3 linked regions of the Saccharomyces cerevisiae S288C genome follow. The protein of the gene in region 1 interacts with the protein of each later gene in a biochemical or structural test. Each region holds a gene or a part of one and is shown in the gene's direction. Other genes may lie near its edges.

What was found.
Region 2: the proteins of MCM7 (region 1) and PSF2 form a complex in vitro, tested with the Saccharomyces cerevisiae proteins (2 studies listed by BioGRID).
Region 3: the proteins of MCM7 (region 1) and TAH11 form a complex in vitro, tested with the Saccharomyces cerevisiae proteins (2 studies listed by BioGRID).

The regions. Positions count from the first base shown.
Region 1 is NC_001134.8:623,839-633,544, forward strand, and holds MCM7 (DNA replication licensing factor MCM7), read left to right. Parts: upstream 1-1,933; coding exon 1,934-4,471; downstream 4,472-9,706. Other genes in the region: DER1 (derlin), read left to right, coding at 1-373; MIN7 (Min7p), read right to left, coding at 655-858; COS111 (Cos111p), read left to right, coding at 5,330-8,104; LDH1 (triacylglycerol lipase), read right to left, coding at 8,416-9,543. UniProt on the Saccharomyces cerevisiae protein: Acts as a component of the MCM2-7 complex (MCM complex) which is the putative replicative helicase essential for 'once per cell cycle' DNA replication initiation and elongation in eukaryotic cells.
Region 2 is NC_001142.9:302,354-307,500, reverse strand, and holds PSF2 (DNA replication protein PSF2), read left to right. Parts: upstream 1-1,638; coding exon 1,639-2,280; downstream 2,281-5,147. Other genes in the region: ARG2 (acetyl-CoA:L-glutamate N-acetyltransferase), read right to left, coding at 1-1,369; JEM1 (Jem1p), read right to left, coding at 2,383-4,320; cohesin subunit SMC3, read left to right, coding at 4,652-5,147. UniProt on the Saccharomyces cerevisiae protein: Functions as part of the GINS complex which plays an essential role in the initiation of DNA replication by binding to DNA replication origins and facilitating the assembly of the DNA replication machinery.
Region 3 is NC_001142.9:520,442-526,729, forward strand, and holds TAH11 (Tah11p), read left to right. Parts: upstream 1-1,606; coding exon 1,607-3,421; downstream 3,422-6,288. Other genes in the region: Hsp70 family ATPase SSC1, read right to left, coding at 1-1,161; ANB1 (translation elongation factor eIF-5A), read right to left, coding at 4,467-4,940; CYC1 (cytochrome c), read left to right, coding at 5,894-6,223. UniProt on the Saccharomyces cerevisiae protein: DNA replication licensing factor, required for pre-replication complex assembly. Faithful duplication of the genetic material requires 'once per cell cycle' DNA replication initiation and elongation.

The DNA.
Region 1 (9,706 bases):
CAATCTGAGAAGAAAATTCTGTTGGATAATATTTTTACTGTTGGTGATACTGGTAAAGATGACCAGCATTGAACAACCTGCAGCATCACTCGGTGTGTTATTGCATGAGAATCTCGTGTACTACGAACTGAAAAAGAACGGAAACCAAATGAACGTACGATTCTTCGGTGCCATTGATGTTTCACCATCTATATTCCCAATCTACATGAATGCAGTAATGTATTTTGTATATAAGCGTAGCTGGTTAGAAATTGCCATGAATTTCATGCCAGGTCACGTAATTTACTACATGGATGATATAATAGGGAAGATTTATGGCATCGATTTGTGTAAATCTCCGTACGACTGGTTCCGCAACACTGAAACACCCTAAAGGAAAGGCCGTTTTTATTTACCAAAAACCAATAACAAAAGTGAACGCTTGATAAACAAACATACTTAGCATAAATAACTACATATAAAATAGGCCAAGGATAAATGAAACGTTGACTAGAATGAATGAAAGATGTGAAAACAGTACAGTTAAAACTGCAATCCCACAAACTAAAAATAATATGAAGAACCTGTCTCAAATGTATAAATGCAGAATAAATAAGTAGCCGAAAAAGTCTCGGTAATTTTCTCCCTAATGATAACCCATATTTTCGAAAGACTCTAAAACCTGGTGTATGATCGTTGAGAACAAAATTCGTCCTTGTAGTAGTGTGTGTCTTTAGAAGCCATTCGGGCCGGTAGAAGGAAAGGTGTTGTTAGTCCCAGAGTGATGTAAGCAACATAAAACAACGTCGTCAGCTTTTTACTGGGAGCACTTGCCTTGTATGATTTAGAAACTTGTGAAAATGATTTCATGGCCAGCATTGTTAGTCCTCGATCTTTTGTGATATTTCCTATATATTACAAAAAAATTCTTGGTTTTCGCCTTGTCACAGGGAATAAATGTGGAATATAAAAGAGAGGAGAGGAGAGGAAAGAAGAAAAAAAACTTGGTGTCCGTTTGCAGATGGCCTATTATATACCCTGCTTATATAACTCTGAGAATTAGGAATATTTTGCTGTTGCTATGGTAATTAACATATTTCCAACAATAATGACCTTCTCGAGCTATTGTCTTCCTTGCAGTGGCGAAGAAACCACCGGAGAGTTGCAACGAACTGCCTTTCTTAGGAAGTGCGCGGGCTCTCTATTATGATAGGCCGATACGGTACAAAAGCTTAAAGTTGCCTTTGTATTACCTTTTTTAATCGCAGCAAACAATGCGAAGCACAGGTGTTCACTTTCCTTAGCTTCCCCTTTTCCGTGCTTTTGTTTATACTTCGTACAAAAATGAGGGGAAGGTACCAGGCAGGATACCTCACTGATTACGACGACAAGGAAAAGAGTAAAAATAATTTACTGTAAAACTTCCAAATTTGTCTGAGAGCAACAGAATAGAAGCACAAAGAAATGTACCCTACGAGAGACAGAGAGGGTAAAAGAGTAAGTAAATTCTAAAGTGGTGTGAATGTCATAACTTAAACTATTACCCACGGGATACCTGCTAGGTCAACGTAGCCGCTACTCGAATATAATAAGCGCTTCTTGTATATTTTCTCAATAACAGGTCGAGGCCCCTTCTACCCTTGAATGCTACTTATTACTCACTCATAATACATTGTATAAGCCTTCGCGTTTTTCACGGCCTCGAAAAAATTTTTCTTAACTAATTTACCCAGAAAGGAAATTTCCTTATAAGGAAAATAAATGCAATTCATTAAGTCGGTTTGCTTCTTTTTTCACGAAAGTGAGATACAAGCAAAGGACCAGAGCGAGATGTACTACAGTAGCAGGCTACATACACGTCTTTACCAATAACTTACATTTAGAAAGGCAATATAATCACTACCTAGATTAGCTTGAATCTTGCAGGAAGAACTCAATACAGATAGACCAGATTATGAGTGCGGCACTTCCATCAATTCAGCTTCCTGTCGACTATAATAATCTTTTTAATGAAATCACCGATTTTTTGGTGACTTTCAAGCAGGATACGTTGTCTTCTGATGCAACACGAAATGAGAACGAAGATGAAAATTTGGATGCTGAGAATATCGAACAACATCTATTGGAAAAGGGGCCCAAGTACATGGCGATGCTACAGAAAGTGGCTAATAGGGAACTGAATTCCGTGATTATTGATTTAGATGACATTCTACAGTATCAAAACGAAAAGTTTCTCCAGGGCACACAGGCAGACGACCTTGTGTCTGCCATTCAACAAAACGCTAATCACTTCACTGAATTATTTTGCCGTGCCATTGACAACAACATGCCGCTACCAACAAAAGAAATTGACTACAAGGACGACGTTCTTGATGTTATTTTAAACCAAAGGAGACTGAGGAATGAGAGAATGCTCTCGGACAGGACCAATGAGATCCGAAGCGAAAACCTCATGGATACCACGATGGATCCACCCTCTTCCATGAATGATGCGTTAAGAGAAGTTGTCGAGGATGAAACTGAGTTATTTCCTCCTAATTTAACTAGACGCTATTTCCTTTATTTTAAGCCTCTATCGCAAAATTGTGCTCGTCGTTACAGGAAGAAAGCAATTAGTTCTAAACCATTATCTGTTAGGCAGATTAAAGGTGACTTCCTAGGCCAATTGATTACCGTCAGAGGTATTATCACCAGAGTTTCTGATGTCAAACCAGCTGTGGAAGTTATCGCATATACCTGCGATCAATGTGGGTACGAAGTTTTCCAAGAGGTCAACTCTCGTACTTTTACTCCGTTGTCAGAATGTACTTCCGAAGAATGTTCCCAAAATCAAACAAAGGGTCAATTGTTTATGAGTACACGAGCTTCCAAATTTAGTGCCTTTCAGGAATGTAAAATTCAGGAGTTATCACAACAAGTGCCAGTGGGTCATATTCCTAGGTCGCTAAATATCCACGTTAACGGGACGCTGGTAAGATCTTTATCGCCTGGTGATATCGTCGATGTAACTGGTATATTCTTGCCAGCGCCCTACACCGGTTTCAAAGCTTTGAAAGCTGGCTTACTGACAGAAACTTATTTAGAGGCACAGTTTGTCCGTCAACACAAGAAGAAATTTGCGTCTTTCAGTCTGACTTCTGATGTAGAAGAGAGAGTTATGGAATTAATCACCTCTGGTGATGTTTATAATAGGCTGGCAAAATCTATTGCACCGGAAATCTACGGTAACTTGGACGTAAAGAAAGCGTTGCTGCTATTACTTGTCGGAGGTGTTGATAAAAGGGTAGGTGACGGTATGAAAATCAGAGGTGATATCAATGTTTGTCTGATGGGTGATCCCGGTGTTGCCAAATCTCAACTGCTGAAGGCCATTTGCAAAATATCACCTCGAGGAGTGTATACCACTGGTAAGGGTTCCTCAGGCGTTGGTCTGACCGCTGCCGTCATGAAAGATCCTGTCACGGATGAAATGATTCTAGAAGGTGGTGCCTTAGTACTCGCTGATAACGGTATTTGTTGTATCGATGAATTTGATAAGATGGATGAAAGTGACAGAACGGCAATCCATGAAGTTATGGAACAACAAACAATTTCGATATCCAAGGCGGGTATCAATACAACTTTGAACGCCAGAACCTCAATCTTAGCGGCAGCAAATCCGTTGTATGGTAGATATAATCCTAGATTATCACCTCTGGACAATATAAATCTACCAGCTGCTTTACTATCCAGATTTGATATTCTCTTCTTAATGTTAGATATACCAAGTAGAGATGACGACGAAAAATTAGCCGAGCACGTTACATATGTGCATATGCATAATAAACAACCGGATTTGGACTTCACTCCAGTAGAACCCTCTAAAATGAGAGAGTACATTGCCTATGCTAAGACAAAGAGGCCAGTGATGAGTGAAGCTGTAAACGATTATGTGGTGCAAGCTTACATCAGATTAAGACAAGACTCCAAGAGAGAAATGGATTCCAAATTTTCCTTTGGTCAAGCCACTCCGAGAACTTTACTAGGTATTATAAGATTATCTCAAGCGCTAGCAAAGTTAAGGTTGGCTGATATGGTGGATATAGATGATGTGGAGGAAGCCTTGAGGTTGGTCCGAGTCTCCAAGGAATCATTGTATCAAGAAACCAACAAATCTAAAGAAGATGAAAGCCCCACAACGAAAATCTTTACGATCATCAAGAAAATGTTACAAGAAACTGGTAAAAACACGCTATCATATGAAAATATTGTGAAAACTGTAAGACTAAGAGGGTTTACCATGCTACAATTAAGCAACTGTATCCAAGAATATTCTTACTTAAACGTCTGGCATTTAATTAATGAGGGTAACACTTTGAAATTCGTGGATGACGGTACCATGGACACAGACCAGGAAGACTCACTAGTGAGCACGCCTAAACTCGCACCACAAACGACCGCTTCCGCTAATGTGAGCGCCCAAGATTCTGATATCGATCTACAAGACGCTTGAAAGTTCTAAAAAAAAAAGCAACAGGGCCTTCATTCTTTATTCTTTTTCCCCCTTTTTTTCATTTCCATATAGCTGCACATTCAAATTTACCTTCTGTAACTTACTTCCAAGGCCCAGTTTTCAAGATATGTATTCTGTATTATTATAATTTTACTAATATTATTCATCGCTTTTGCCAGCCACAGACCCCACACATTTCGGACTTAACATTATGACTGCGCATGTCCGTGCACCGCGGCCCAATTCTTGTTTTTTTTTTTTTGCGGAGAAAGGAAAATTATCTTCAAGCGGAATAGGGCCAGCTAGTATTGCTCAGATGTGCCTGTGGAGAGCCGTGCTACAGGGTACCGTCAGCCCCTGAGTATACCAGAGAGTACACCGTGCGGAGTTCTTCCAGAAAATGAAAAGATTGTTCTCAGAATAATTCGTAGCGCTTGATAATAATCCGAATTTGAGATACCTGCCGGCACCCATTCTGTTATCGCCAAGAGGACTTTTAGGGGACCCGCAGACAGTAAAATTTTTTTCATTCATTAACATGTGAAGGCAACATTCATCGATCTCCATCCCTACTGTCAAAAATATAAGTATATATATATATATATTTATATAGTCTATATATATATAGTCCCACTCTCAAACTAATATAACCTTTACAAACCTGTCCGCTCAGTACGGTAGTCCTATTTTATTCCGTTTACTAGATTATATTTGAAGATATTTTTTTATTCTTGAAAATCCCGGACGATAGTATTTTTAGCTGAAGAATATTTGCGGGGAGGAACTATATAGACACTCGAAGCAAGAGGGGAAAAGGAGAAAGAAAAAAAGGTACACTAAACAAGGTCGAGTGTATTGATGTCAAGTGCTTCAAGACTTCAAAACGTCAATATTGTTTCTAACAACTATTCTCGTTACGGAACTTCCGTTTACGATAAGTTGTATCATAGTAACGGCAGTGGTAGCAATAATGCTGGTAAGAATTCTACCACAGTTGGTAAACTGTCATCTATCTCACAAAAGTCCAGGAGCAAACAGCGTCATGGCTCAAATTGCTCCAGATCAATGAGTCAATCACCCTTATCGACGTTCAAATCTCCACTCAGCAATCAAAATCAATCCAGCGCTCCTGATGATTTGGCTTCCATAGGTCAGAGACGCAGTGACGACGTCACATCTTTAGATAATGAAACTATCATAACGATGAATTCAAGGAAATCAAGGATTAAAAAAAAGTATAAATCCTTAATCTCCACCTCTTCAAAAAAATTTATGAATAAATTGTACGATCATGGTGCTTCATCCGACTCATTTTCTATATTTTCTCTGAAGACTTCCCATTCTGGTAAACATGAAAATTCCAGATTTGAAAAGCTGAGGAAGAGAAAATACCATGCTTGGGGCAAATTTGCCGATATCAACGATTTACCAGTTGAAATAATTGCCAAAATACTTTCTGAATTCGAGTTAGGTCGTGATCAAAAGACACTCGTAAGATGTCTATACGTATCGAAGAAGTTTTATAAGGCGACAAAGATCGTCCTTTATAGGCTACCTTACTTCACTTCCACTTACAGAGTGGCGCAGTTTGTCACCTCACTAAGATTACATCCGGATAACGGGGCATACGTGAAAGTATTGGACCTATCACACTTGAAGCCGGGAATTATAGGCCAAGACTCGAAGGATTCTCAAGGCCTAGACGATGATGGCCACTCAAGGCGTCACAGACGCCGTCGCCGCAGATCTACTAACACAAGTTTGAATCTACCTCCAGCTACTCCAACATCTACCATTTCTAACGAGGATGATGCCAATAGCGGATTAATCAAAGACGACGCTTCAAATGGCAGTGAAGTTGAAGACTTGGCATTAGCTGGTTGGAGAGACTGGAGATACAGAAATGAACCCCTTTATAGCTCTCCTCTGTTGAACAGCTTTAAACTGAAAAAAGTGGTTTCTCGTTCTTCTTCTATCACTTCTACATCTTCTGGAAATTCCACCGGTGTTCACTCTACAAGGAGACAACGTTCCAATAGTTCCGTTGCTTCCATAACGACGAGTATCATGTCATCCATCTATAACACCTCCCATGTCTCATTGTCTTCAACCACGTCTAATACCAGCAATGGTAACATCTCTTCTGGTAGTAATCTGTCAAGAGTTTCCACTGCTGGATCATTGAAAAAAGCTTCTGCGAAGTCCACAAGGTCATCTCCTCAGAAAGCAAAACCTATATCTGACATTACGTCATCTTCCTGGTTTAGAATGAGGTTAAGTTCAAGAAATAGAAAGGCAAGGACAGCTAATACGATTAATTTAAAGAACTCGAAGGATAAGTCTGACGATGACTTTAAAGTTTTAAAGCACGATTCGGGGCATCCATCCAATTATCGTTCTTCGACATTAAAATTTAGCATTGAACAACCATTTAGTACGCATCATCCGTATGCCAACAAATTTCTTTTAAAGTACGCTCCTTATAAAGATCTGCCCCTAGGTTATATTTTACATATGCTGAACCTGTGTCCTAACCTTGTTGAACTAAACCTTTCCAATTTAGTTATTTGTACCGATTTCAAATTAATCAACCAAAGATCCGAAAGAAGAAGGATGACATCTTCACTGTTGCCCGCTGTCCAGGAGTCTAGTGTTTCTGCAGGCCCTGAGAAAGATTTAGAAATTGTCTATATGACCGATTCTGGCAAAGGTTATGAATATTATGAGGGGTTAAGCAAGAAACACTCACGTTCTTCAAGCCTAGGTACCAATCCATCTAGTTGGATTGGAGGTCAGGCGAATTGGACAGATTACCCACCTCCAATCGATGCACAAACGAAAACAAGAGAGGAACACAGACGCAACAATACCTTGAACAATAAGAACGTCGTATTAAAGAAGCTAAACCCTTTTGAAATTTTTGAAATGATCTGCAATAGAAATGAAGAAAAAGGTGGCTACTGCTCCTTAACTAAGGTGAAAATGAATGACATTGTGTGGTGCAGGCAATATATGGTAAAGTATTTTGTAATGAGGACGTTTCGCCAGCATTTGGATTATAAATCCATGGAAAACAACTCTTATGAAAGACACTTATTCAGTTTCCGGGACTCTGGCTTGGATAGAAATTTTTCCTGGGCTTGTAATGCCAAATTGCATGAATTTGTCGCATTGATGGTTATGGATCATCTTTCAAATTTAGATGATTTAGGATTAGAAGAGCTTTTTAATATCAAGTCCGAAAAGCTATATATAAAAAACTATTGTTGCCGAGACCCGGATATTCTCGAAATATCAAACTTATTTGATATTAGATATGGGGCCGGATCTGAGGCTGATGCTACTTCTGATTCCAATCTCGAAGCAGAATCTTTACAATTCAGGTTGACAATATTAAAAACAGAAAAGCCAACTTCATTTTGGCTCACAAAAGTTTCCAAAGATTATGTTTCTTTAGTGGTTAAATTATGTGTGGATGATGACATTGATATGGACAAAATGAAAGTTGGAAAACCAACTTTGAGAATAGACAGTATTACACACAATTTGATTAGTAGGTTAAAGGAGTTGAGGAGAGTTGATCTAAGGAGAAATGTTGGCGAAAATAACTACTATGCTGAAAGCATCATATAACGACTGCTCTCTTTTAACAGCATACGTTCTGTTAATTTATTTGGCCAAATATTATTGATGTTTATTTTTTTCTTTTTTGCATAGCCTTTCTACATTTCATGGCTTTATTTATTTATATTTATTTTTCGTTTCCTATTTTTTTGCATACATAGACACTACCTTTGATTTTTGCTTGTAAGATGTACGATATAAAGTATACTATGAAAAATTTGAAAATATTGGTCTTAGTTACTTTTTCTGGTTTGTTTTATCAATTCATGTAGCAGTGTGCACGAAAATCTAGTTACGCAATGTGAAATCTAGAAAACCTTCTACAATTTGGAATTATCAATCACCTCTCGTTGAAAGTTTTCACACACCAATTCTGGACGGTCGAAGCATAAATTATGAGAACAGTCAGGTAAAATAATCACTTTACGAAGACATTCTTTATTTATAGTTTGTTTGTAAAATTCCAAATTTTCAATAGGAGCTATAGGATCTTTTTCAGCGCCAAATATTATAATTTTCTGTTTCATATCCGTTTGCGTCAATACACCATTGAATTTAACCCAATCAACAGTTTCCCATCCTAGTAAATAACCTATGATGGTTCTACTTTTGTTGCTTATGTTGTTTTTAAATTGCCAGAACTTCCTGTATTTCAACTTGACATCATCACCTTGTTGATAAAAATACTGCTTGATGCCGGAACTTTGTAGACCTTTTACCTGATCGAATTTGTTTCTATAAACGTCAAATAGCCATGGCAATTTAAACACACCATAGAGAGCCCACTGGATAATATGTTTATCCTTAGAAAGCTGCTCGATATGTGCTTTGGGGGGCGTCAACAAAACTAGCGTTTGTACCGCTTTTGTATCAGCCATGTGCTGCTCGTAAAGATGACATGCCAGAAAACAACCCATAGAATGCCCTACAAGCACTATCTTATGACCGTTAAATGGATTTACGTTATCATTATTCGGCACCGCTGTAGACCATTTTCTTAAGACGTCACATACAAGAACGAAAATAAGTTCCACCACTTTCAGCATGGGGTAGTCGCTCCATTCTGAACTATGACCAAAGCCGGGCAGATCTAACGTCAAAAATGCCTTTTGATCAGAGTCCACAAGCTCGAGTAAGGGTTCAAATTGTTCTAAGTTGCCAGCCAACCCAGGCACGAAGACGAAAACAGTATCACCCCGTATCCCTTTATCGCTCAAGTTGTGACACGTCCTTATTCTTGAATTTCGATCCGATAGTTGTACATTAAAAAACTCCTCATGTTCTGCGATAAACTTCAACCTAAAGTCCAAATCTACCTCTGGTTTGCGAATGTAAGCTACCAAATCAGCTGCATTTTCTGCATTTTGAACAATCTCTTCTAGCGTCTTTCCAGAAAGGGGCTCACAGGACCAACTTTTTGTTGCTTCTGCACGTTCTGCCATATTCATTACCAAGAGAAAAAGTTCTCGGTTTAAGGCTTTCTTCTAACGTTGAGTTACGATCCAAATGCGACTGTACCATCTTGGTAGTTCTTTATTAATGAACCCTTTAAAATTGCCGGGTTAAAAGAATGGCGCGTCCTCTTGAAACTTTTCGAAGAAAACAACGTAA
Region 2 (5,147 bases), on another chromosome or scaffold:
AATTTTCCTCCGAGCCTTCATAGGTAAGAATTGCAATGCCTTCATAATCACCTATCACAATAATTGTAGCTATTTTTCCATTAATCCTTTTTATGTAGTCATGCAAATCCAAAGATCTTTTAAAGCTCTGATCGATGATGGATTTAAATTTGTTGATATCTAGTTTTGGACTATTGCTCGAGGGTTTTGCTCCTTTCTCAGGTACGTGAAACTTCTTTGGAAGCCCAATTGAGTTGAATTGAGTCAGCGTCTTATAGTCATAAGTTTTGATATGGACGCCCTTTTTGAGAACAGTTGTCACTAAAACTGCATCTGAGTTAGAAGGAGCTGCATTTACCTGTTGGGAAGGCAATTCATACCATGCGTGATCATCAAACATGTTGGCTGGTGAGTCTATCTCGCCGTCCTTTTTTTTAAACCTTGGTAAAGAAGAAGAAATTAGCGATCGGTCTGTCAATAAATTATATACTAAAGGATTTTTCCTATCTGATGATAGTGCGGCAGCTTTGACAGTTGTAATCAGTCCCGTTGCTGTAGCCGCTAGATTTGATAAAACTTTGTCCATCAATAACAGGTTTTCTAAATGATCATGGTATTCACATTCTAAGGAAGATATCTCATCTTTTTTAACGTACACCTCCATTCTGTGTAACAGGTTTTGGGAGCGTGGCTCTCGTTTGGTTAGAGTGCTTATATTGTGAGATAATGACGAGGACAAATGCTCGAGTTCCTGAGAAAGATTGATGAATACATGAGCGTTATCATTTCTCTCTCCCGAAGGTATACCTCCGGCATTATTTAGAATGAAGAATTTGTCAATGTGTGGAATATTCCCTTGGCACAGGCAATCCATAAATTTTACAACATCCTTTGTCATGAATTCTGAAGCAGTCTCTTCATTATACACATAAGGTTTCACAATTGGTATAAAATTGGAATTTCCAATATCAAAGAAACGACTCTCTTGCGAAAAAACAGAATGATATAACCCAGTGCGGGATTTAGTAAGACCCTCCTTAAGGTGAAGTGGCTTTAAATCTGCTTCTGTAACGATACTGTCAAGTAACTCTGCCTGTATATTTACATGAGTTGGCGACGGCGGAATTACAAACATAGGTCGCAAACCTAGCATTCCTAGTCTCTTTATGACACTTGAAAACTGGGACAAAATCGCTGGTGCGACTTTATGCAGGTCCCTGATAAAAAACAAACAATGATTATGCTGCCCACTATCATTTGTATATTTTGAGAGATAATCCTTAGCCTCTCGTTTTGTAGCGGTTGTATTCAGAACTGAAAGGATCAAGTTTTTTGAAGATGCATTGGGTTGATCATACTTGAGTTCATGCGCGAATATTCTCCTCCACATGATAAAAGTAACCGACTAGTGTCCTAGATTGACGGTCCTAGCTTCAAATGTGTTAACTTTCACAATTTATGTCGAACGTGCTTATGACTCCATGGGAAGATCAGTGATGACTAACCTTTTTTTTCTCCAGCGTGAAATTTCTTGTGATATTTTCCATTTAATGAAAAATCAGTCGCCTAAAGTGTAACTATGAAATGGTTAACAAAAAAGAGTTTTATACTTAGAGAGGATCAACGGCTGATCTGAAATAAGACTAGTTTCATAGACGCATGTCACTACCGGCACATTTGCAGCAGACTTTCTCACCAGAAGAAATACAGTTCATTGTGGAAAACGAGCCAATAAAGATTTTTCCCAGAATAACAACACGCCAAAAAATTCGTGGCGATGATAGAGGAACTGGAAACCACACCCGCTGGCAACTTATTACTACAGATGACAAAGCTTTAAATAATATGGTAGCCATGCGTTCTACAGAAGTGGTTCTTTGGATCGCTCTATTACTGAAGCAACAATCCAAGTGCAGTATTGTAGCACCACAGTGGTTAACGACGAAAGAGCTTGATAGAAAAATACAATATGAGAAAACTCATCCGGATAGGTTTAGTGAGTTGCCGTGGAACTGGCTTGTCTTGGCACGTATACTTTTCAATAAAGCTAAGGATGATTTTCATGACCCCATTCACGAATTACGTGGTAAAATACAAGACTTAAGGGAAATAAGGCAGATCAAAGTGTTAAAAGGCCTTAAGTATTTGAATGAATCTCATTTACAATTGGATAATTTAAGTCTATTAGAAATCAATGAGTTGAGGCCGTTCATTACTGAAATCATGGATAAACTGCGAGAAATTCACACAGCATCTCTTACCGCTGGTACTGAAAATGATGAAGAAGAATTCAATATTTAAAAAAGTGCTGGCTTTGCAATAATTAGAACTTTCAGTGATATGCGTATGTATATATATGTACTTGTTGTGGTATCCTAGTTAATGGGCATAGAATGTATTTCATCAAAGCCCAAAATTCATTTTAAAGCCATTTCCGAATGGGAAGCCACTTCCTGGATTTTTGAACATGTTATTTTGCCTAGGCCCCTGAGGAAAAGTGTTGCGGCGGGGGTTTGATCTGGAAAGATCGTATTCCTTCCTTTTATCGTCATCACTTAATGTTTCGTACGCTTCATTGATTTGTGACATAGTTTCGTGAATTGATTCTTGTTTGTCGTTATGGTTGGCCTTTATTTTGTCTGGGTGGTATTTTTTGGTTAAATTTAAATATGCTTTCCTTATTTCTTTCGAACTAGCACTAGGCGATACTCCAAGAATTTTATAATAGTCCTTTTTTGGGTCGTAGTTAGGCGCTGCTGGGGGTGCTTGATGTCGTTGGTGTTGTTGCTGCTGTTGTTGTTGTTGGAAATATTGCTGGTTGAAATTCCGATGTTTATGCTCTTTATAGGTTTGTAATTGTTTCTGTAATAATCGGAAGTTCTTCATCACGTATGGATTGGTCGACTCTGAGAGGCCGTTATCTTGGAAAAATTTGTTTATCTGGTCATATAATTGCTTTTTGAACTGTGAATGAGGTTTAGACCTACTTTTATTAAGTATTGAGTTTACCATATACATCAGCAAATGAGGATTGGAATTCCATACATCACTCAATACCGTCTCAGGTAAAGGTTTTTGCTCGGACTTAGCATCCTGATAGTGTTTCCATGTTTCTAGTGTTAGTGAATGCCTCAAACTCTTTTTACAGAACGGCGCAGCCAGTTTAGCTCTCTTGACGTCCGGACTCATGCTAGAAGCCTGACAAAGAATGGAATCAATGTATACTAGATAATCGGTATGATAGTATGATTTTGGTTTGACAAAACCATCGGTTATTGGGGGATCTTCGAATAAATTTTTTGCCAAAGGTCTCGACAGTTGAACGTCTTCTATCAATTGTTTGATAATTTCCTCTAAAAAGAAGTAGTTGTTTTTAAAGTTTGTATCTTTGTTAAGAATTTTCATTGGTGTAATAAATGGCTTCTTATCCTTCAAATAAAATTCAATAATTCTATCCCAACTTCTAAACTTTTTGTTCTCAAATGCATATGTTGCTGGATCCAGGATCTGTCTTTTTGATGGATTCACCTTGTTCAATTTGGAAATAGTCAGGCTTAGTTTTTTACATTTATCATAGTCCATATCAATGGAAAGGCATTTTCTTATATTGAACGACGCATCTGAGTTAAGTACAAAGGTCTGTAAAACAGATATGACATAATGAATCGAAAGTCTTGTATCTATGCTTAAGCTAGCCAAATGCTTGTCGAGGATTGTTTCGTAATCCAAAATGATAGCAGCAGCTAACGAAACGTCAATTTCTTCAGCTAGTTTGTGAAAAAGAACATCGATGTGCGTGGAGAGGACGTTAACATCGTACGGCGTTATGCGTAGCAGCTCAGAAATATCTTCCTCCACAGAAACGTCTTTGGATGATATTTTGTTTCTGATGGTTTCATTCAAGGACAGATATTTCGCATACTGATCATCCTTCTGATGCACCTTGTCCCACATCCCAAAATCGACATACAGCTCTTGTAGCCTCTTTTCCGCCAGCTTCCCAAAAGAACCTTTGTAAGTTTCATTAAAAACGATTTTTTCAAATGTGTTAATAGCTCTTAGATGTTGATCGTTGGATAATTGGATCAGCCCAATTTTGTAGTATATTTGATTGGCTAGTTGAATTACGTCTGACATATTTTCACTTGCTGGATCCGCAGTCATGCAGTTTTGTTCCAACTGCCCAGCGATCCATTGGTATTTTGGCAAGGATTCAGTGTCTACTTTTAAATTCTTGTTCAATCGTTGTAACTCAGCCAAATCACATAACTTAGAAGCCGATATCAGTACTGGCAAAATAACGCTATACACTAAAAGACAGTATCCCGAGATCAGTATCATACTTCGTTTCGTAGACGTTAAGATCGGCCTTAGTAATACACTAAACCAACAATGAATGAAACCTTCTGGGCCCTTCTCGCAACCAACTCCTTTCACTTGGAATAACTTATAAGCAGTTTTGGCTCTATTTTTGCCTGCCATCGAAGTGTACACCTGTCACATTTCACTATTAGGAACCTAAAGAAAAAAAGTCTCAGGAATAGGAAAAGACGCGACGCGTTAGGAAATGATTAAACTAATTAAAGATGAGTTTTCAACCTCATCTTTAAACAGTTTCACCATTTTTTTACAAGACGACCTGCTGGAGTAACGGTAATAGTTCACGTCTGCAATGTATATCAAAAGGGTGATAATTAAGGGTTTTAAAACCTACAGGAACGAAACCATTATTGATAATTTCTCGCCGCATCAGAATGTTATTATTGGCTCCAATGGTTCAGGTAAATCGAATTTCTTCGCTGCGATTAGATTTGTTCTTAGTGACGATTACTCTAATCTTAAGAGGGAAGAAAGGCAAGGGCTTATCCACCAAGGTTCTGGTGGTTCAGTGATGAGTGCCTCGGTAGAAATTGTGTTCCACGATCCAGATCATTCTATGATATTGCCCTCCGGTGTACTTTCGAGAGGAGATGACGAAGTGACCATTAGAAGAACAGTAGGGCTGAAGAAGGATGACTATCAATTAAATGACAGAAACGTGACCAAAGGGGACATAGTCAGAATGTTGGAAACCGCTGGTTTTTCAATGAATAATCCGTATAATATAGTACCACAAGGTAAAATAGTCGCCTTAACTAATGCCAAGGATAAGGAAAGATTGCAGTTAT
Region 3 (6,288 bases), on another chromosome or scaffold:
GGCCTTAGATGGGTCCTTACCAAACAAAGATTTAACGGTTTCGACAACCTTAGGCATTCTGGACATACCACCGACCAATAAGACTTCAGATATGTCTGAAGTAGACAAACCGGCGTCTTTCAAAGCCTTCTTGACTGGGTCGACAGTTCTCTTAACTAGTGGGGCTGTCAAAGTCTCGAATTGAGCCCTGGAGAACTTCATGTTGATATGCTTTGGACCTGAGGCATCAGCAGTGATAAATGGCAGGTTGATTTCAGTGGAAACGGTAGAAGATAGCTCAATCTTAGCCTTTTCAGCAGCTTCTCTAATTCTTTGGATAGCCATACGGTCATTTTCCAAATCAATACCAGTTTCGGTCTTGAAACGAGAAACAATCTCTCTCAACAAATAGATGTCGAAATCTTCACCACCCAAATGAGTGTCACCGTTAGTGGACTTAACTTCAAAAACACCGTTGTCAATATCTAAGATGGAGATATCGAAAGTACCACCACCCAAATCGAAAACGGCAACAACTTTAGAGTCGGATTTTTCCAAACCGTAAGCTAAGGCAGCGGCGGTTGGTTCATTGACGACACGTAAAACGTTCAAACCAACAATTTGGCCTGCGTCTTTAGTAGCTTGTCTTTGAGAGTCGTTGAAATAAGCTGGGACAGTGACAACAGCATTCTTAACTGGCTTACCCAAGTAGGCCTCAGCTGTTTCCTTCATCTTGTTCAAGACGAACCCACCGATTTGGGCTGGTGAGTAAGTTTGACCTCTGGCCTCAACCCAAGCATCCCCGTTGGAGTGCTTGACGATCTTGTATGGAACTTGCTTGATATCTCTTTGCACTTCAGCGTCTTCGAAACGACGACCAATCAAACGCTTGGTAGCAAATAGGGTGTTTTCTGGGTTCACTACGGCTTGACGCTTGGCTGGAATACCAACCAAACGTTCTCCCTCTTTAGTGAAAGCTACTACAGAAGGAGTAGTTCTGGAACCTTCGGCGTTTTCAATAATTTTTGGAACTTTACCTTCCATAATGGCAACCGCAGAGTTGGTGGTACCCAAATCGATACCGATGACGGAACCTTGAACCTTGGTTGACTGCAAACGTGTGGCAATACGGAAAGAGCTAGACAAGCTTGACCTGTTTAGTATGTTTTTAGCAGCAAGCATCTTGGTGCGTATAATATGAGATTTGTGTAGTCTTAATTATATTAAATGGGTCGTAAATACAAAAGTTGTCACTCTGGCAAAGGTTGGTGAGCAGCGGGGCGTCGATATGTACAGCAGGCAGAGGAGGACAGCAACGTATGGAGTTTTCAAACGTGGAACAAAGAACCCAAAAGTTCCCAAGCGTCGAGCCGGCGTTGGATCGTTCGTTTTTATACACCGCACCGTAAGCGGTCACCGGAAAAAGAGGCAGGGGGCGGTGGAACCGGGCCGAAGCCCATGGAAAAGCTCTGCCGTTGTGGGTGATATACAATTATTCAGCGCATCTAAGGCACTAGCTTTAGCACATTGTACCATTGCGATGATGCGGAAGAGTTTAATATAAGCAGATGTTAGTTGCGGTAGTTGGTATCATGACAGTGAGCTGAACTACGTAGCGTCGTGATTTATGAGTGGCACAGCTAATAGTAGGAGGAAGGAGGTTTTGCGCGTGCCTGTGATAGATTTGAATAGAGTTTCAGATGAAGAGCAGCTGTTGCCGGTGGTGAGGGCAATTTTGCTACAGCATGACACCTTTCTGTTAAAAAATTATGCTAACAAGGCTGTTCTAGATGCACTACTAGCGGGGCTCACGACAAAGGACCTGCCTGACACGAGTCAAGGTTTTGATGCGAACTTTACGGGTACATTACCGCTAGAAGATGATGTTTGGCTGGAGCAGTACATATTTGACACTGATCCTCAATTACGCTTCGATCGGAAGTGCAGGAATGAGTCACTGTGCTCCATATATAGTAGGCTGTTCAAACTGGGTCTGTTTTTCGCCCAACTGTGTGTGAAAAGTGTGGTTTCTAGCGCAGAATTGCAAGACTGTATCAGCACCTCTCATTATGCGACTAAGCTGACCCGTTATTTCAATGATAATGGTAGTACACACGATGGTGCAGATGCAGGTGCTACCGTGCTGCCCACTGGCGACGATTTCCAGTACCTGTTTGAAAGGGACTATGTTACTTTTCTTCCGACGGGCGTGTTGACCATCTTCCCCTGTGCCAAGGCTATAAGGTACAAGCCATCGACTATGGCGACGACGGACAATTCTTGGGTGAGTATTGATGAACCCGATTGTCTTCTGTTCCACACGGGGACCCTCCTTGCGCGCTGGTCTCAAGGTATGCACACTACCTCACCACTCCAGATAGATCCTCGTGCGAACATTGTTTCGTTGACCATCTGGCCTCCACTTACTACGCCAATCTCGAGTAAAGGAGAGGGTACGATTGCCAATCATTTGTTGGAGCAACAAATTAAGGCTTTCCCAAAAGTCGCTCAGCAATACTACCCACGGGAGCTTAGTATTCTAAGACTCCAAGACGCAATGAAGTTTGTTAAGGAGTTGTTTACTGTTTGCGAGACTGTATTGTCTTTAAACGCTCTTTCCAGATCCACGGGCGTCCCACCAGAGCTGCACGTTTTGTTACCCCAGATATCCAGCATGATGAAAAGGAAAATAGTGCAGGATGATATTTTGAAGTTATTGACCATTTGGTCTGATGCATACGTAGTGGAACTGAACTCTAGAGGGGAGCTGACCATGAATCTACCCAAAAGAGACAATCTAACAACGTTGACCAATAAGTCTAGGACTTTGGCATTCGTGGAAAGGGCAGAGTCGTGGTACCAACAAGTGATAGCTTCCAAGGATGAGATTATGACTGATGTACCCGCTTTCAAAATAAATAAAAGAAGGTCCAGCTCTAATTCTAAAACAGTCTTGAGCAGTAAAGTGCAAACGAAGAGCTCTAATGCTAATGCCTTGAATAACTCAAGATATTTGGCGAATAGTAAGGAAAATTTCATGTACAAAGAGAAGATGCCTGATTCGCAAGCAAACCTTATGGACAGACTGCGTGAAAGAGAGAGACGTTCGGCCGCATTGCTTTCTCAAAGGCAAAAACGTTACCAGCAGTTTCTAGCGATGAAAATGACTCAGGTATTTGATATTCTTTTTTCGCTGACCAGGGGCCAGCCTTATACAGAGACATATCTAAGCTCGCTAATCGTAGATAGTTTACAAGATAGTAATAATCCTATCGGTACAAAAGAAGCAAGTGAAATTTTAGCTGGGCTACAAGGTATCCTACCAATGGACATATCTGTTCATCAAGTGGATGGTGGGTTAAAAGTTTATAGATGGAACAGTTTGGATAAAAACAGATTTTCTAAGCTGTTGCAAATCCACAAATCAAAACAACAAGATTGAAGAATATTTTTAGATATAAGGTAGAATACGTACATTTACGGTAAAAAAAAAAAAAAAAGAAAAAAAATTGATCTTGATACATACGTTGGTATTTTACTTTGAAGACTGTGCATTGTGTATGTACGAAAAGAAAGGGAAATAAAAAATAACGACAACTGCAGGACTCGAACCTGCGCGGGCAAAGCCCAAAAGATTTCTAATCTTTCGCCTTAACCACTCGGCCAAGTTGCCTTTAATCTCTTGAGTTTGTTTAAGGACAACACTGTCCACCTGGCATGGGAATATTACCATTATTCCAGATTCGGGCTTGTTATTAGGACTTTTTACCAGCTTGATTTACCGGTCATTACTTATCCTACACATCATACATCACAACTACACTTGGTGAAGAAATCACAGAGCCTTGGATTTGTAACAATTATATGTTTACGCAATTTATCTTGGGAAAGCAGGGCCTCATTTGTGGACATAGCACGGTCTGTCACCCTCGTCGTGCAAAAAATATTTTGACTTCTACTCTTTTTGAAGTTTCGTTGATCGGGTCCCTTCCAAGGAAAAGTCGAATGCTGTCACTGCGCATATAAAGGCGAGAACGATAGTGACTGTGATATTAAGTTATTGTCATCATATAAGTAATTTTTTCTCTGATATCTGTAGCCCTAGTTTTTAATATTTTCGTAAAATGCTCAAAAAAATTTCTGTTTAAATTCTTCTGGGGTATATACACATGTTCCCGTCAGCTAAATTAAAAAGAAGAAGGAACCGAAAGAAGGCAAATTATAAAGTAATCATCCTCGGCATATTGAGGGGAAAATATCCGTCAAAAAAAAAAGTTCTGCACGTCGTCATAAGTGACTATGGTATCAAACACCAATTAACACGAACGTAGCGATAATGAAGGCAACTTCGTAGCTGAAACAGAACGAAGTTAGTTAGGATGAATAATTATGATTATGATTATTATAATATTATATAAAATGTATAAATAAGATTTCTAGATCAAAAAAACATCGCGTATTTTGTAAGCTATAGAAATCTAAAATATCTAATCAGATCTTGGAGCTTCCTTGAAGGAGATGGCAGCTTCTTCACCCATGGCAGAAATGATAGTGACCATCAAATCCTTACCTTCATCGAAAGCAGCTTGCATGCTGTCACCCAATTCACCTTCTGGTGCCTTGACATCGTCTTTGGTTTCACCGTCCATGGTCATCAAGGACAAGTAGCCATCATCAATATCCAACAATTGGTATTCGCTTCTCTTGACAAATGGAACTTCCAAGTTGTGAGTGGATGGAGACAAATCTTCCAACTTCTTACCAGTGAAGATATCAAGGGTAACCAAATGGACCTTGGCGTGACCGTGCTTACCGGTCTTGGAAGTGGACATGTCGACAATCTTACATGGTCTACCTTTGATGACAACGAAACCATTCTTTCTCAAGGCAGAACATTGCATTGGGTAGGTGGCGGAGGCACCAGCGTCAGCATTTTCAAAGGTGTGTTCTTCGTCAGACATGTTTTAGTGTGTGAATGAAATAGGTGTATGTTTTCTTTTTGCTAGACAATAATTAGGAACAAGGTAAGGGAACTAAAGTGTAGAATAAGATTAAAAAAGAAGAACAAGTTGAAAAGGCAAGTTGAAATTTCAAGAAAAAAGTCAATTGAAGTACAGTAAATTGACCTGAATATATCTGAGTTCCGACAACAATGAGTTTACCAAAGAGAACAATGGAATAGGAAACTTTGAACGAAGAAAGGAAAGCAGGAAAGGAAAAAATTTTTAGGCTCGAGAACAATAGGGCGAAAAAACAGGCAACGAACGAACAATGGAAAAACGAAAAAAAAAAAAAAAAACACAGAAAAGAATGCAGAAAGATGTCAACTGAAAAAAAAAAAGGTGAACACAGGAAAAAAAATAAAAAAAAAAAAAAAAAAAGGAGGACGAAACAAAAAAGTGAAAAAAAATGAAAATTTTTTTGGAAAACCAAGAAATGAATTATATTTCCGTGTGAGACGACATCGTCGAATATGATTCAGGGTAACAGTATTGATGTAATCAATTTCCTACCTGAATCTAAAATTCCCGGGAGCAAGATCAAGATGTTTTCACCGATCTTTCCGGTCTCTTTGGCCGGGGTTTACGGACGATGGCAGAAGACCAAAGCGCCAGTTCATTTGGCGAGCGTTGGTTGGTGGATCAAGCCCACGCGTAGGCAATCCTCGAGCAGATCCGCCAGGCGTGTATATATAGCGTGGATGGCCAGGCAACTTTAGTGCTGACACATACAGGCATATATATATGTGTGCGACGACACATGATCATATGGCATGCATGTGCTCTGTATGTATATAAAACTCTTGTTTTCTTCTTTTCTCTAAATATTCTTTCCTTATACATTAGGACCTTTGCAGCATAAATTACTATACTTCTATAGACACACAAACACAAATACACACACTAAATTAATAATGACTGAATTCAAGGCCGGTTCTGCTAAGAAAGGTGCTACACTTTTCAAGACTAGATGTCTACAATGCCACACCGTGGAAAAGGGTGGCCCACATAAGGTTGGTCCAAACTTGCATGGTATCTTTGGCAGACACTCTGGTCAAGCTGAAGGGTATTCGTACACAGATGCCAATATCAAGAAAAACGTGTTGTGGGACGAAAATAACATGTCAGAGTACTTGACTAACCCAAAGAAATATATTCCTGGTACCAAGATGGCCTTTGGTGGGTTGAAGAAGGAAAAAGACAGAAACGACTTAATTACCTACTTGAAAAAAGCCTGTGAGTAAACAGGCCCCTTTTCCTTTGTCGATATCATGTAATTAGTTATGTCACGCTTACATTCACGCCCTCC